Linked DNA regions of Macaca mulatta. The protein of the gene in region 1 interacts with the protein of each later gene in a biochemical or structural test. Links are inferred from orthologs where the notes say so. Each region holds a gene or a part of one and is shown in the gene's direction. Other genes may lie near its edges.

Region 1 (5,651 bases):
TTTCTCCTTTACTTGGCCTACAGAAAGACTTAGACAACCACAAAATAATAGTGGGAGATTTCAACACCCCACCAATAGCATTAGACAGATCATTGAGACAGAAACTAACAAACTCTGGACTTAAACTCAACACTCAGAAAACTGGACCTAATAGACATCTACAGAACACCCCATAACCATGGAATATGTTCTTCTCATCTGCACATGGACCATATTCTGAGATTAACCACATACTTGGTCATGAAGCAAGTCTCAAGTTCAAAAAAAATGAAATCATACCAAGCACACCCTTGGATCACAGGTCAATAAAAATGGAAACCAATATCAAAAAGCTCTCTCAACTACACAAATGCATGGAAACTAAACAACTTACTCCTAAATAACTTCTAAGCAAACATCTAAATTAAGGCAGAAACTTAAAATTCTTTGAAATTAACAAAGATGGAGATACAATTTACCAAAATCTCTAAGATGCAGCCAAAGCAGTAAGAGAAAAGTTTATAGCCCTAAATACCTTCATCAAGAAGTTGCAAAGGGCTCAAATTAACAATCTAACTTTGTACCTTAAAAGGACTAGGAAAAAAATTCCCAGTGCCAGCAGAAGAAAAACATTAGAGAAAAACCTAATGAAATTAAGATACAAAAAATCCAAACAAAAGGTCGATAAACCCAAGAATTCTTTGGGGGGGAAATAAACCACAACTAATAGACCCTTAACTAGATTGAGATCCAAATAAGCATAATGAAATAACAAAGATAATATTACAACTGATCCCAAAGAAATGCAGAAGATCCCCAGAGACTACTATGAATGTCTTTAAGCACACAAATTAGAAAATTCACAGTGAATCAAGAGATTGAAACCCTGAAAAGCTTCAGAAATTGAATCAGTAGTAAAGAAGTTCTTAATCAATGTTAATGTCCAAGATATGATTTACGGCCCAAAGTGTGGTCTACTTGGTGAATATTCTACTTGGTTTACTTAAAGAATGTATATTCTACTGTTTAAATATATTGTGTGCATTTCGATTGAATACTGTTGGTTAAAATATGTTCAGTGTTAACTGGCTTTTCTATTTTTTCCCCATACCCTTATCTGCTGGATGCATTACTGATGGAGAAAGGCATTAATCTCAACCTTTAATAATGGATTTACCTATTTCTTTCAGTTCAGTTTTTTGCCTCACATATCTTGATCTATTGTGGGTACATACACACTAAAAATTCGTCTTTTCATAGACTTGACATCATTATCATACATTCCCTTTTATGCATAATAATATTGCTTTCTCTGGAGTTTGCTTTGACTGTAGTTGATATAGCTATTCCAGGTTAATTCTTTTAATTTTTAATTTTTGTGTGTACATAGTAGGTACATTTTAATGAGGTAAATAAGATGTTTTGATACAGATATGCAATACATAACACTCACATCATGGAGAGTGGGGTATCCAATCCCTCAAGCATTTATCCTTTGTGTTAAACAATTCAATTACTTAGTTACTTTGAAATGTGCTGTAACATTATTGTTAACTCGTCACCCTGTTGTGCTATTAAATAATAGATTTTATTCATTCTATTTTTTTACCCATTCACCATCCCCACCTTACCCCTCCTGTAACCTTCCCAATGCCACAGATAATTAAGAACATACAATATTTGTTTTTCTGTGCCTGTGCTACTTCACTTAACATTTTCATTTCCATCTATGTTGTTGCAAATGACAGGATCTCATTCTTATACACAATGGACCACTATTCATTTATATGTGCCACATTTATTTTATTCATCTGTTGATGGACACTTAGGTTGCTTCTAAATCTTTGCTATTGTGAACAGTGCTTCAAGAAAAATGCGAATAAAAAAATTTCTTCAATATACTGATATCATTTCTTTTAGATATTGTATTAGTCCATTTTCACACTACCATAAAGAATACCTGAGACTGAGTAATTTATAAAGGAAAGAAGTTTAATCGATTTAAAGTTCTGCGTGGCTGGGGAGGTCTCAGGAAACTTATGGCAGAAGGCAAGGGGGAAGCAGGCACCTTCTTCACAAAGCAGCAGAAGAACAGCAAGCAGGGGGAATTGCCAAATGCTTTTAAATCATCAGATTTCATGAGAACTCCCTCATTATCATGAGAACAGCATGAGGGAAACTGCCCTCATGATCCAACTGCCTCCCACTAGATTCTTCCCCAACATGTGGGGATTACAAATCAAGATGAGATTTGGGTGGAGACACAGCAAAATTACATCAACTATATACCCAGCAGTGGATTGCTGGACCATATGGTAGCTCTATTTTTAGTTTTTTGAAGAACCTCCAAACTGTTCTCCAGAATGGCTGTACTAATTTACATTTCCATCAACAGTGAATGAGGGTTCTCTTTTCTTGACATCCTCGCCAGCATTTGTTAGTGCCTGTCTTTTTTATATAAGACATTTTAACTGGGATGAGATTTATAGTTTTGATTTTCATTGCTCTGATCAGTAATGTTTAATGCCTTTTCATGCCTGTTTGCCATTTGTATGTCATCTTTTGAGAAATGTCTATTCAAATATTTTGCCCTTTTTTGGTTCAGATTACTAGGTTTTATTTCATATAGAGTTTGAGCTCTTTATTCTGGCTATTAATCGGATACATCATTAGATTTTTTTTAAAAGTTTTTCATCTTTTTTGATGTATGCAGTTACATCTATAAACTTCCCTCTTGCTGCTTTCACTATATCCTGTGAATTTTGGTATGTTGTTTCTATTTGTTTCAAGAAACTTTTCAATTTAATTTTTTCGTTGACCACTGGTCATTCAGGAGTGTATTGTTTAATTTCCATGTAGTTGTATAGTTTCCAAAATTCTTATTATTAACTTATAGTTTTAGTTCACTGCTGTCAGAGAAGATGCTTGACATTTGTACTGGTCAGGGTTCTCTAGAGAGACAGAACTAGTAGGATAGGTGTCTATATGAAAGGGAGTCTATTAAGGAGTATTAACTCACATGATCACAAGGTGAAGTCCCACAATAGACTGTCTGCAAGCTGAGGATCAAGGAAACCAGTCCAAGTCCCCAAACCTTAAAAGGAGGGAAACTGACAGTACAGTCTTCAGTCTGTGGCTGAAGGTCCCTAGTAAATCACTGGTGTAAGTCTAAGAGTCCAAAAGCTGAAGAACTTGGAGTCTGATGTTTGAGGGCAGGAAGAAGCACAGGAGAAAGATAATATCTGGAAGACTCAGCAAGTCTGCTTTATTCTAGCCACACTGGCAGTTGATTAGATGGTGCCCACTCACATTGAGAGTGGTTCTGCCTTTCCAAGTCCACTGACTCAAATGTTAATCTCCTTCAGCAACACCCTCACAGACACACCCAGGAACAATACTTTGCATCCTTCAATACAATCAAGTTGACATTTGTTAACTATCACAACATTATTTCAACTTTTTGAATGTGTTAGCACCTGTTTTGTAACCTAACATACGGTCTATCCTGGAATAATCCATGTGCTGAGGAAAAGAATGTGTATTTTGTAGTAACTGCACAAAATGTTCTCTAAATGTTCTCTATTAGGTCCATTTGGTCTATAGTGCAGATCGAGTCCAGTATTTCTTTTTCTGTCTGGAAGATTTGTCCAATGCTGAAAGTGGGGTGAAGTCTCCAGCTATTATTGTATTGGGGCCTACCTTCTTTAGCTCTAATATTTGCTCTATGTATCTGAGTCCTTCAGTGTTGGGTGCATATATATTTAAAATTGTTGTAACCTCTTGCACAACTTGACCTCCTTATCATTACATAGCAACCTTTGCCTCTTAGTTTTCATCTTAATCTACTTTGTCTGATGTAACTATTCTCATTCTTTTTTGGTATCTATTGGCATGGAATATTTCTCTTCATCTCTGTATTTTCAGTCTGTCTTTATAGATGAAGTGTTTCTTCTAGGCGACAGATCACTAGGTCTTGTTTTTATCATCCATTCAGCCACTCTTTTGACTAGAGAGTTTAGTCCATTTATGTTTAATGCTACTGATAAGTAAGGACGTAACTCCATCTTGCTGTTTTCTTGTTGTACAGTCTTCTCTTCCTCCTTTCCTTCCTGTCTCACTTTAGTGAAGGTAATTTTTTTTTTTTGAGGTGGAGTCTTGCTCTGTTGTCCAGGCTGGAGTGCAGTGGCATGATCTTGGCTCACTGCAAACTCTGCTTTACAGGTTCAAGCAGTTCTCCCACCTCAGCCTCCCAAGTAGCTGGGATTACAGGTGCCTGCCACCACGCCTGGCTACTTTTGTATTTTTACTAGACATAGGGTTTCACCATGTTGGCCAGGCTGGTCTCGAATTCCTGACCTCAGGTGATCCACCCACCTTGGCCTCTCACAGTGCTAGGATTACAGCCATGAGCTACCATGCCTGGCCAGGAATTTTTTTTCCTCTGGTAATATGACTAATTTATTGTTTTTTGTGTATCTATTGTAGGATTTTGGTTTGAAAGTACCATGAGGCTTCAAATACTATCTTTACAACCCATTTTTTATGCCAATTATATCTTAATCCTGTTCACATAAATAAGAAAAAACTAAAACTAAAACTTTGTTCCTGTGTTAGTCTGTTCTCACACTGCTAATAAAGACATACCTAAGACTGGGTAACTTATAAGGAAAAAAAAAAGGTTTAATGGACTCACAGTTCCATATGGTTGTAGAAGTCTCACAATCATGATGGAAGGCAAAGAAGGAGCAAAGGCACATTGTACATGGCAGCAGGCAAGAGAGAATGTGCAGGAGAACTGCCCTTTATAAAACCATCAAATCTCATGAGACATTCACTATCACAAGAACAGCATGGGAAAAACCTACCCACCCCCATGATTTAATTACCTCCCACAACATATGGGGATTATGGGAGCTACAATTGAAGATGAGATTTGGGTGGAGACACAGCTAGACCATATAATCTCCTGACTTTTTAATGTTTTATTTCTATCTTATTGTACTATTTCTTAAAGATGTTATTTTTGATCATCTTTTAGTCCTTCTACTTAGCATAAGAGTAGTCTCCACATCAGTTAGTATAATTATATTCTTTGTTTTTCTATGTACTTACTATTACCAGTGAGCAGATAATTTCTTCTTGCTCATTAACATCTTTCCTTTCTGATTGAAGTATTATTCTAGCATTTCTTGTAAGACAAGTCTGGTGTTGATTAAATCCTTCAGCTTTTGTTTGGGAAATTCTTATCTCTTTTTGACATTTGAAGAATATTTTTGTCAGGTATATTCTGGAATAAGTCTCTTTTCCTTCAGCTCTTTAAATATGTTTTGGTCTGTATGGTTTCCACTAAAAAGTCTGCTGCCAGATATATGAAAGCTCCATTGTATACTTTCTCAGGGACTAGAGTCAAAAACCTTAGTCTACCCAGCATTCTAATTGTACTGCAACTGGGCTGGCACCAAAAACAGAAGATGCAGTCCTTCCCACCTTTCTCTCCCCTTTCCAAAGGCAGGGGAGCCTCACCTCATGGCTACCACCACCTTAGGCCCATGGAAAATGCTGTCAGACCACTACCAATGTTCCCTTTAGGACCCAGGGCTCTTAAGTCAGCTTGTGGTGAAAGCTGCCTGGCCTGGGACTCTCCCTTCAGGGCAGTGGGCTCCCCTCTGGCC
Region 2 (5,740 bases), on another chromosome or scaffold:
TCTTGCTCTGTCACCTACACTGAAGTGCACTGGCATTATCCTGTCAGACATTTTAACTTTTGCCTGATAGTAATGATAGTAACGCTTGCTCTGTAGAGATATGAGCCTAGTCTTCAAACATTGCATAATAGTGTTTTAGATATTAACATTATATGCTCACTGGAGATAATTACATACCCCCCACACCATCTGTAAGTCACTGTTTTGGCTCCTATGTCAGGATCTTTTTATTAAATATTAACAAAAGAATGGCTGGGCGCAGTGGTTCACACCTGTAATCCCAGCCCTTTGGGAGGCTGAGGCAGGTGGATTACGAGGTCAGAAGTTCAAGACCAGGCTGGCCAACATGGTGAAACCTCATCTCTACTAAAGATACAAAAAATTACAAAAAATTAGCTGGGCATGGTGGTGTGTACCTGTAATCCCACCTACTTGGGAGGCTGAGAGAGGAGAATCACTTGAACCTGGGAGGCGGAGGTTGCAGTGAGCCAAGATCGCGCCATTGCACTCCAGCCTGGGTGACAGAGTGAGACTCCGTCTCAAAAAAAAAAAAAAAAAAGAAGACAGGTTATTATGTGCTATTTAGTATTACCTAGAAAGGATTACTGGCATTGACCTTTCCCTCCTGTGAAGATACTTCTAACATATATGAAACCCAAGGGACCAGATACTGGTTCCACTGTGATGAGTGTCAGAATTCTTGTAACCTCTTTTTTCCTCATTAGTATCTGTCATGGTAGGTTGTTGGCTCTGACGATGTCATAATGCTTTGTTTGTAGGGTCATCCGACACTACTTTTTCCATAGGAACAATCAGCTTTTAGGCAAAGTGAACCTTGGACAGTAAAACCTGATCTTCTGAGGTCACAGAAATAAAGACATCTCAAAGAAAATATACTGGAAACTTCTTTAAGTTTTCCTCCTTCATTGGGATACGTGGGTTTCCTCACTGTTGTAATGTTGATGACACAACAGGGCTAACACCGGATATGCTTCTGGTTGATTCCGGTTTACCAAGAGCATCCAAACATCCCTCAAGGACACAGTCATTTTGCACAACAAAGGGAAACTCCGCTCATTTCTGGCATTAGGGTGGACATCTGAGAGAGGGGAGGGTATACCACCGTAACTTCTCTAGTGATGAGTAGTGTTTAATATTATGCCATAGACTAACTGGCGTATTTTAAAGATCTTTTTCCTTTTTGAACACATTTCAGATTAGAGAAGTTCCAGAGAACGTAATCTATTTTAAGAGTGTGAAACAGTGATATTCTGCATTGCTTTTATATCTTAAAGAAATTTCTAAAAAGAAAGCCGAGTCAATAAAATGACAGATTTTAAGCCTTCATTCTGGTAACATAAAAGCCTTCTACTCATTGTGTCTGCCACCTTAATTTTTAAAGATAGAGCATGAGGTGCAAGCTTTTGGCTTCCATTTTCCTCTTATAAACCAATGACATCTTCAGTTCCAGAATAGCTTTTTTAAAACGTGACTTCTGATAAATGTTGGCAGAACTGGTGCATTCCTAAAATAAATTATGTATGCTCAGCTTTCCCTACCCAAGTTCATCCCTAACTGACCACAAAACTGCCCACCACGAAATAGGCTTAAGAGAAGTCTGGACATAATGGTCTAAGTGTATATAACACAACACTGGTATATTTTTAAAAATTCAGTATATTTTAAAAAATTCATGCCTAGGGTCAATTCTGATAATCAAATTTAGACTGCCGCAACAACCGTAACTACTGTTGATACATGCGAAGTTTAAAACTGAAGGGCTGGGGTAAGGGGCAGAAACTGTACACAACAAACTTCCAAATTTTCTCTCCCCTTTCAGGCAAGTTTCAGCTCCACAAATCTAAATACCCTCGCCTTTAAAATATCAGTGTCGTTTTGCTCTTTAATCCTCATCCTGTTGTACAAGGAAACCTATGTCTCTCTTCCCCAGATTAAGAATACAAGAAGCTTTCCAGGTCTACAAGGACCAGAAAGCAGCTGCGCGGGAAGTTTCATGGGGCCCCAAGGCTCTCAGAGTGGGCTTGACGGTATGGAAAACACATCCCAAGAGAAAAATCTGTGAACCGCACAGCTGTGTTTGGAAAACCAAAACGAAATAGAAAAAAATCTGAGCTGATCCGGACGGCATCAGGATTACGCGGTACACAAGAAGAAAACAACCGTAGCCGGGTCAAAACTGGAGCCGTGTCTCCTCAGTAACCAGAGTAAACGGAAGACCGACGCGGGAGCGGCGAACCGGACTGAGACCGAAGGTACTCGGAGCGCCATTTACCACGTCCTCGCCCCGCCCCCTAGCCCCTCCTCCCGTCCGCCCTGCGCGCCAGCCAATCCCCTCGCGCCATCACCTTCCCATCGTAGGCCCCGCCTCCGCGCCCGGGATGTTGAGCCCCCGCGGCGTGACGCGAGCACGGCAGCTCCTCCCCCTGCGTCTCTGGCCTCGCCGGTCTTGGGGGGATGGTTCCATCATGGCGTCAATGCAGGTGAGAGGAGTTTGCTGCATCTGGGCGGGCCAGGGAGCCGCCGAGAGAGTGCCAGCGTTCGGGCGGGGGTGGCGTCCGCGATTCGGGGACACCCGGGCGGGTTCGGGATCGGCCCGGGTGGCTTGTTTTCCTTCAGCTCAGGGCGTCGGGGGAGGGGTAAGAGGCGGCGAGAGGCGTTGGGGGGGTGCGGTATCCGTCGGTCGAAGCGGACACCAGCCGGCCGGGAAGTTGGGTGATAAAGGAGGCTTGGGGGAGAAAGGGCGAAGTCTGGTGTTGGCAGCCTCAGAATCGGCTCCCCGCGCACACACACACACACACACGGCCACTGCCAGTCTGCTGCCCGCCAGTCCCAGGGTTGCCTTTACCCCCGCTGTCCCTGGCCCGACGGAAACAGCTGCGCCCGCGGTTGTTGCCGGGGCAGGGGCGGCGAGGGGCTGAGTGTGGGGGAGCCGAGAAGGCGTCTCCGGAGAAGGCGACTGGCTGCGGACGGCGCTTAGCGGCCTCTGCTCCGGCCTCCCACGCCGGGCCCCCCAGACTGCTTGGCCCCGTCTCTCTCTTCTTCCCTTTGACTCTTAATCCTGTGCCCGTGGGTATCCGCTCTTTCCATCAGCCTCGGCATTCTCGCGGACATTACTTCAGCAGTCCAGTGTCTCCTCCTCTCGAAGCTGCCCCGAGTCCACTGCCTGATGGGCGATCTCCCGAGAGCCAAGTCCTCAGCCCCCTGAAACCTTTCGGGATAGCTCGCCCTTTATTTTGTTTCCCCCTACAAGGCCCCACCCTTGCGGTCGCGATAAGGCTATACATCTCTTTGCCCTTATTCGCAGACCTTTAGTGGAACCTTAGTTTGGTAGGAGGCGTTTGTTAACCTGTGCCACATCCACCCGACTTAGCAAGGCGTGGTTTTCTGGCTTTCCAACTTAATTTACTCCTTTTTCCCGAATTCAGGGAGTTGCGGGTTTTTTGTGTTTTTGTTTTCAGGCAAAGATGGCAACCACAATTGTAGTTTTGTAGAGATTGGCTGCGTTATCTATAGCCTGCATTTAATTCATAGGTGAAGACTAGCGGTATCAAAGACATTGGAAGAGAAAGTAGAACACTCAATAGGAGTGTCAGCTGAATACTCTTTAGCGTTTTAATAATATCCCCTTGGGTAAAGAGACCACGTTTTCTTAGAAGTGTTTTTTGCTTTTGTTTCTGAAAGAAGCAAGTCTCTGTTCCTCCTCCATTTTTTTTTCTTTTCTCTGCTAAAAGTGTTTTTCTTCCCTTTTCTGCAACTTCTTCCTCTTTTGTACAAATATATCTTTGCTTCACATTTACTCCTGTGCTTTTATGTTATTCCCCTTTCAACCTGTTTTCCTTACAATATTCTCTTTACTTTTGCTTCTCCCTCTGGACTTGCCTGCAGAACAGAAAAGTTTTATGTAACATTTCTAGTTGAAGAGATGTCACGAATGGTGCAGGGAAAAAAACAGGAACAATTTCAGGAAACATTATACTTTACACTAGTCCCCCAGAGACGTTAGAGAAGTTTCGTCATTTGAGGCCAAGAAAAGGAACTGTGGAATGCTAGTTGAACAGTAGATGCAATAGGCTACATGACCACTTAAAGATTTTTATCTGTGTTAAGATTAAAACATTTTTTATGACAAGTTTAAGATTATCTGTATTAAGATTAAAACATTATTTGAGAGTAAAAATTAAGATTAAAATCCACAACACTCGTGATAATATTTGACAAGAGAACGTAGTGTGCCATCTGGTTAGATTTAGTATCTGGAAAAGGCAGATTTGTTTGTAAGAGAAAGGTTGGTAATGTTGAACTTTACATGGTGTCTTTTTTTTTTTTTTTTTTTTTTTTTTTTTGAGACGGAGTTTAGCTCTTGTTGTCCAGGCTGGAGTGCAGTGGGGGCGATCTCGGCTCACCGCAGCCTCCGCCTCCCGGGTTCAAGTGATTCTCCTGCCTCAGCCTCCCGAGTGGCTGGGATTACAGGCATTGGCCATCACGCCCAGCTAATTTTGTATTTTTAGTAGAGACAGGAGTTTCTCCATGTTGGTCAAGCTGGACTTGAACCCCCGACCTCAGGTGATCCGCCCACTTCAGCCTCCCAAAGTGCTGGGATTACAGGTGTGAGCCACCGTGCCCGGCCTACATGATGTCTTAAGCAATGGAAACAAATACTTGATTGATAGTGCAATAGTGCATTTTTCTGTGCCCTAAGTATTACCTCAGACTGTCTTACCACTCTTTGAAGTTTTTCCTTCACCTTATTCCATCTAAATCTTATCACTCTCTATTCTTCTGTGTTTTCTGGTTAGAGGAATGGAAAATGGATGCTTAACTCTTTTTATTAAAGTAAAAAGTCTTTTCCTTTTGTTTGTATTTTAAAATATCTAGTGCAGATTTTCTGGTAGTATCTTTAAGAATATTTAAATATGTATAAGTCAGGCTTTTTGAAAGACAGCCCTACTTTCTGTGTGGTTATTCTGTATCTTTGTTGTACAGAATTTATATCCTATCTTAATGGCAACATCTGGCTCTTTTAAGACAACTAGATTATACATAAATCTTCAATCAAATTATCAAATTTGTTTAATCACTGAGCCAGTTACCTTTTGGGGGCCCTCTGTGTGTCAGACACTTATCTAGGTGCCGCGGTTATAGCAATGAACAAAAGCGAACAAGATTTTTGCCCTCATGGATTTAATAATAAATAGTCTGGTAAGAAGAGACAGATAATAACAGCATATTTAAGTTAATTGTTTTTTGTTTTTTGTGTTGAGATGGAGTCTCACTGTGTCGCCCATTCTGGAGTGTAGTGGTGCAATCACGGCTCGCTGCAACCTCTGCTCCCAGGGTTCTAGCAATTCTCCTACTTAGCCTCCTGAGTAGCTGGGATTACGGGTGCTGGCCACCACGACCAGGTAATTTTTTTGTGTTTTTCGTGGAGACTGGGTTTCGCTATGCTGGCCAGGCTGGTCTTGAACTCCTGACCTCAAGTGATCCTCTCGCTTCGGCCTCCCAAAGTGCTAGGATTACAGGTGGGAGCCACTGCACCTGGCCAAGTGTGTTACTATATTAGAAGGTGATAGTGCAGTGGAGAAAAAACATGGAAGGCTAGGAAATTGATCATTTGGGGATTTCGATTAGGAAAAAATAAACTGTAACATGGAATGACCATGTCCTTACTCAAAAAGCTTTTAGTAGATTTCTTTATCTTACCCACACCAGGTGTTGCTGC
Region 3 (5,455 bases), on another chromosome or scaffold:
ATCTTTATTCTGCCAGCATTTTTTTTCAATACCACACCCAAATGTTACTCAAGTCAAAGGTTTCCTATGAGAGCAGGGGTTGTGCCTGGTGTTCTACAGCCTTTGGTTCACACCCTTTTTTTTTTTTTTTTTTTTTTTTTTTGAGATGGAGTCTGGCTCTGTCGCCCAGGCTGGAGTGCAGTGGCCGGATCTCAGCTCACTGCAAGCTCCGCCTCCCGGGTTTACGCCATTCTCCTGCCTCAGCCTCCGGAGTAGCTGGGACTACAGGCGCCCGCCACCTCGCCCGGCTAGTTTTTTGTATTTTTTTAGTAGAGACGGGGTTTCACCGTGTTCGCCAGGATGGTCTCGATCTCCCGACCTCGTGATCCGCCCATCTCGGCCTCCCAAAGTGCTGGGATTACAGGCTTGAGCCACCGCGCCCGGCCTTTTTTGTTTTTTTCTTTTAGAGGGGGTCTCACTCTGTCGCTCAGGCTGGAGTACAGTGGTGCAATCTTGGCTCACTGCAACCTCCGCCTCCTGGGTTCAAGCAATTCTTCTGCCTCTGCCTCCCGAGTAGCTCAGACTATAGACATGCGCCACCACGCCTGGCTAACTTTTTTTTGTATTTTTGGTAGAGATGGGGTTTCACCATATTAGCCATGCTGGTCTCGAACTCCTAACCTCGTGATCTGCCCGCCATGGCCTCCCAAAGTCCTGGGATTACAAGCATGAACTGCCCTGCCGGGCGCCCAGCACTTTTTTTTTTTTGAGAGGACATTTCCGTCTCCACGTTGGTCAGGCTGGTCTCGAACTCCCGACCTCAGGTGATCTGCCTGCCTCGGCCTCCCAAAGTGCTAGGATAACAGGCGTGAGCCACCGCGCCTGGCCGGTTCACACCCCTTATTTGTATTTACTGTTTTTTTGAGACAGGGTCTCACTTTGCCGTCCAGTCTCGAGAGAAGTGGCACCATCTCGACTCACTGCAACTTCGACCTCCTGGGCTCAAGGGATCCTTCTACCTCAGCCTCCCGAGTACCTGGGACCACAGACGCGCGCCACCTCCCGGCTAATTTTTGTAGAGACAGGATTTCGCCATGTTGCGGAGGCTGGTCTCTAACTCCTGGGCTAAAGCTATCCTCCCGCCTCAGCCTTCCAAAGTGCTGGGACGACAGGCTTGAACCACTGCACCTGGCCTGGTTCACACCCTTTAATTGCACTTACCACATACTGCTAGGCATTGAGGTTATTTCTGAAACATCTCTACTCTTCCACTAGATTCTATGAGGGCAGGAACTAGGTCTTATTTTTCTCTGAGGACAAGAACTGTTAGACAAGTGTATGGAGACTCATCTAGACCTGACTTCCTCTTTCCTCTGGGTTTATTTCTCCCTCCAGGAAGAGGGTTGTGTGTTTGTGTGAGCGGGGCGACTGGAAAACACAGTGTTCAGGACGTTGTATCTTGTTCCAGGAACTAAGTACATGCCTGGGTAACTAATGTGGAATACCTCTCCTTCCCCTGTTGCTATCGCCCCTCTGTGGCTGCTTGGCAAGTAGCTCAGTATGAAGAGCTGACGGAATTCTCAGGTGGGCCAGGTGGCTCTGGCGTCCAGATTGTTTAAGGCGACTGTTAATAACTACAGCACACCGTTCAGTCTTAGTCCCAAGGCGCTGATGCACGTGGTACTTCCCGAAATCCCTGTTAGGGCCGCTGGAGCAGGAGCCCGGATCCCACGTTTGGGCAGCTGACTCGCCTAAGGCCTCCAGCTGAAAGCGGAATGGCAGGGGTGAGAATGAACAGACCTAACTACGGGGCTTCTCGCACCTGGCCTGCATTTATTTAGGACCAGGATAACCTCGAAGGCCGGGCTAGGGTGCCCCATGGGTCGTGGGCTTGCTGTCTGACTCCCTGAGATCGGCGGGCTGAACAGAGCTTCATCCTGTAGCGCCATCCTGAGCAGAGGAAGGGGCGCCCGACGACCGCGTAGCAGGCGGCAGGGCGGGACGAAGTAGCAGCTGCTGCTCCCCACCCACCCCTCTCGCATCTGCCTTTTCGCTCCACTGTTTGCCGGTGAGCGAAGTGGCGCGAGACTGGAGGGGATAAAAGACAGCGGCTGCAGGAGCCGAAGGCCGCGGCACGAGGTGGGGCAGGGGCGGGCACGCGAGCGTGCGTGCGTGCGTGCGTGGGCGCGGTCTATAGCACGCCGCGCGCGGGGCGGATGTCCGGGCCGGCTGGGCCGGGGCCGCGGACGAGATGGCGGAAGGTGGAGGCTTCGGTGAGCGACCGGATGCGGAGACTCAGAAGTCGGAGCTTGGAGCCTTAATGAGGACCACACTCCAACGCGGCGCGCAGTGGTGAGCATCCGGCTCTCTCTTCCTCTGTGCAGAACCAGGGGCCGAGTATCTGGCCCTTAGGCCAGCCCCCTTTTTCTCGGCTACAGTAGGGGCTGGGCGGGGATGGTATGTAGTGACCCTGGAAGAGTAGCCTGACACCTGCCCCTCGGGAGAACTCCAGGATCAGCTCTGGGAAAGCGCAGGCGGGGCCTGAGGGTCGCCTCGGCTCATTTGGAGCCCCAGTGGGTGGGCCCGGCGGGGGCTAGGGGGATGGATGTGGAGAAGGGGAATGTTGGCGGGGACCCTGAGGGTGGGGAGAGCCCTTTACCATGAGGACTCGCCGTGTGACCTTGGGCGAAGGTGTCACAGACCTGGATTCCTCACTGTTAAAACCAGGATAGCAATATTTGGCTCTCCGCCCTCAGTGGGTTGAGGCGAAAATCAGAAGTACTTTGTAACTTGTAAACTGCCAACAGATGTCAAGGTCAGAAGCTGAACAAATGTCTGAGAGCCCCAGATTATTTTGGTAGCAAGTGTCAAAAATATTTGTGACAGCAGTATCTCGGAGTGGGAGAGGGGGATAGCCTAGGTCCTGGAGCTAGATAGAAGATGAGGAGTCCAGAATTTAGAAGACCCAGGCTGAGTTATTGGACATCTTAACAGATTGTTTGGTGGAGGGGACAATACTTTGTACTACTGGAGAGATTCCTGGGTGGTATTATTGTGTAGTACAAAAACTAAGGCTAGACTTTGCATTTAGTATGATTGAGTGTTACCCATCTTGTTTTTTTGTTTGTTTGATTTTTTGAGACAGAGTTTCACTGTTATTGCCCAAGCTGGAGTGCAGTGGCGCCATCTCGGCTCACGGCAACTTCCGCCTCCCGGGTTCAAGCGATTCTCCTGCCTCAGCCTCCCGAGTAGCTGGGATTACAGGCTCACACCACCATGCCCAGCTAATTTTTTGTATTTTTAGTACAGACTGGGTTTCACCATGCTGAGCAGGCTGGTCTCGAACTCCTGACCTTGTGATCCAGCCGCCTCTGCCTCCCATTACAGGTGGGAGCCACCGTGCCCGGCCCGAGTGTTACCCATCTTTAAGAAACCATTGTGGGCCGGGCGCGGTGGCTCAAGCCTGTAATCCCAGCACTTTGGGAGGCCGAGACGGGCGGATCACGAGGTCAGGAGATCGAGACCATCCTGGCTAACATGGTGAAACCCCGTCTCTACTAAAAAAATACAAAAAACTAGCCGGGCGAGGTGGCGGGCGCCTGTAGTCCCAGCTACACAGGAGGCTGAGGCAGGAGAATGGCGTAAACCCGGGAGGCGGAGCTTGCAGTGAGCTGAGATCCCGCCACTGCGCTCCAGCCCCGGCGACAGAGCGAGACTCCGTCTCAAAAAAAAAAAAAAAAAAAAAGAAACCATTGTGGTGATGACCTACAGAGGAATTGAGCTGGAGGATAGAAAAATTGGGGTTATGAGGAGTACAGATAACAGCTTATGTATTCACCTTGAGCTAGCCAGTTTGTGAAAGTCAGAGTAAACAGGTACTTTTTTTGTGGGTTTTTTTTTTTTTTTTTTTTTTTTTTTTGAGGAATTTCGCTCTTGTTGCCCAGGCTGGCGTGCAATGGCGTGATCTCGGCTCACGGCAACCTGTGCCTCCAGGGTTCAAGTGATTCTCCTGCCTCAGCCTCCCCAGTAGCTAGGATTACAGGCATGCGCCACTATGCCCGGCTAATTTTTTTTTGTATTTTTAGTAGAGACAGGGTTTCTCCATTTTGGTCAGGCTTGTCTCAAACTCCCGACCTCAAGTGATTCACCCGCCTTGGCCTCCCAAAGTGCTGGGATTATAGGCTAGAGCTACCACGCCTGGCCTAGCAGAGGTACTTCTCAAGTTAACCTGTATAGGGCTCATAAAGAATACTCAGCAGAAGCAGAGGAAGTTTAAGACTAAAATCATACAGTAAAATTGTATGGAAGGTATTGCTCAAGGGATTTGGAAGAAAAATAGCATTTTCGAGACGGATGTGTTTATGGATCCTTGTGACCTCTGGGAAGTTGCCTGAACTCCTCTCACATTTGTTGGTTATACAGTTTTAAGGATGCACCAATATAATTGTTGATGCTTTGTTGCTCCACAGAGATTCTGTTTTAATTGTAAAACCCCAGAGTGATACTTTTTTTTTTTTTTTTTTTTGAGACGGAGTCTCGCTGTGTTGCCAGGCTGGAGGAGTACAGTGGCATGATCTCAGCTCACTGCAATCTCTGCCTTCCGGGTTCAAGCGATTCTCCTGCTTCAGCCTCCCTAGTAACTGAGATTATAGGCAGGCACCACCACGCCCGGCTAATTTTTGTGTTTTTATTTATTTATTTATTTATTTTTTTTTTTTTTTGAGACGGAGTCTTGCTCTGTAGCCCAGGCTGGAGTGCAGTGGCCGGATCTCAGCTCACTGCAAGCTCCGCCTCCCGGGTTCACGCCATTCTCCTGCCTCAGCCTCCCGAGTAGCTGGGACTACAGGCGCCCGCCACCTCGCCCGGCTAGCTTTTTGTATTTTTTAGTAGAGACGGGGTTTCACCGTGTTAGCCAGGATGGTCTCGATCTCCTGACCTTGTGATCCGCCCGTCTCAGCCTCCCAAAGTGCTGGGATTACAGGCTTGAGCCACCGCGCCCGGCTAATTTTTGTGTTTTTAGTAGAGACGGGGTTTCACCATGTTGGCCAGGATGGTCTTGATCTCCTGACCTCGTGATCCACCTGCCTCAGCCTCCCAAAGTGTTGGGATTACAGACATGAGCCACCTCTCCCAGCCAGCATAGTGATACTTTAAAAATATAAATAGGTCTGGCACAATGTCTCATGTCTGTAATCCCAGCACTTTGGGAGGCTGAAGCAGGAAGATCACTTGAGGCCAGGAGTTCAAGATCAGCCTGGGCAACATAGCAAGACCTAGCCTCTACAAAATAAAAATAAAAAAATAAATTAGCCAGGCATGGTGGTATGTACCTATAGTCATAGCTACTCAGAGGCTGAGGCAGGAGGATCACTTGAGCCCAGGAGTTTGAGGCTACAGAGAGCTATGATTGTGCCACTGCACTCTAGCCTGGGTGACCCTCTCTCTAAGGAAATAAATAGATAAATAAAATACCACA

What was found. The genes of interacting proteins can lie anywhere in the genome.
Region 2: the proteins of TRIM21 (region 1) and UBE2W are reported together in a solved structure, tested with the Homo sapiens proteins (2 studies listed by BioGRID, with this or other methods). The link is inferred for Macaca mulatta from reciprocal best matches to the Homo sapiens genes TRIM21 and UBE2W.
Region 3: of the proteins of TRIM21 (region 1) and USP4, one has a biochemical effect on the other in vitro, tested with the Homo sapiens proteins (2 studies listed by BioGRID). The link is inferred for Macaca mulatta from reciprocal best matches to the Homo sapiens genes TRIM21 and USP4.

Annotation. Positions count from the first base shown.
Region 1 is NC_133419.1:71,426,001-71,431,651, forward strand, and holds the start of TRIM21 (E3 ubiquitin-protein ligase TRIM21), read left to right. Parts: upstream 1-2,075; 5' UTR 2,076-2,085; intron 2,086-5,651. UniProt on the Homo sapiens protein: E3 ubiquitin-protein ligase whose activity is dependent on E2 enzymes, UBE2D1, UBE2D2, UBE2E1 and UBE2E2.
Region 2 is NC_133413.1:84,449,934-84,455,673, reverse strand, and holds the start of UBE2W (ubiquitin-conjugating enzyme E2 W), read left to right. Parts: upstream 1-2,486; coding exon 2,487-2,501; exon of another isoform or gene 2,502-3,771; intron 3,772-5,740. UniProt on the Homo sapiens protein: Accepts ubiquitin from the E1 complex and catalyzes its covalent attachment to other proteins.
Region 3 is NC_133407.1:112,777,318-112,782,772, reverse strand, and holds the start of USP4 (ubiquitin carboxyl-terminal hydrolase 4), read left to right. Parts: upstream 1-2,201; 5' UTR 2,202-2,230; coding exon 2,231-2,331; intron 2,332-5,455.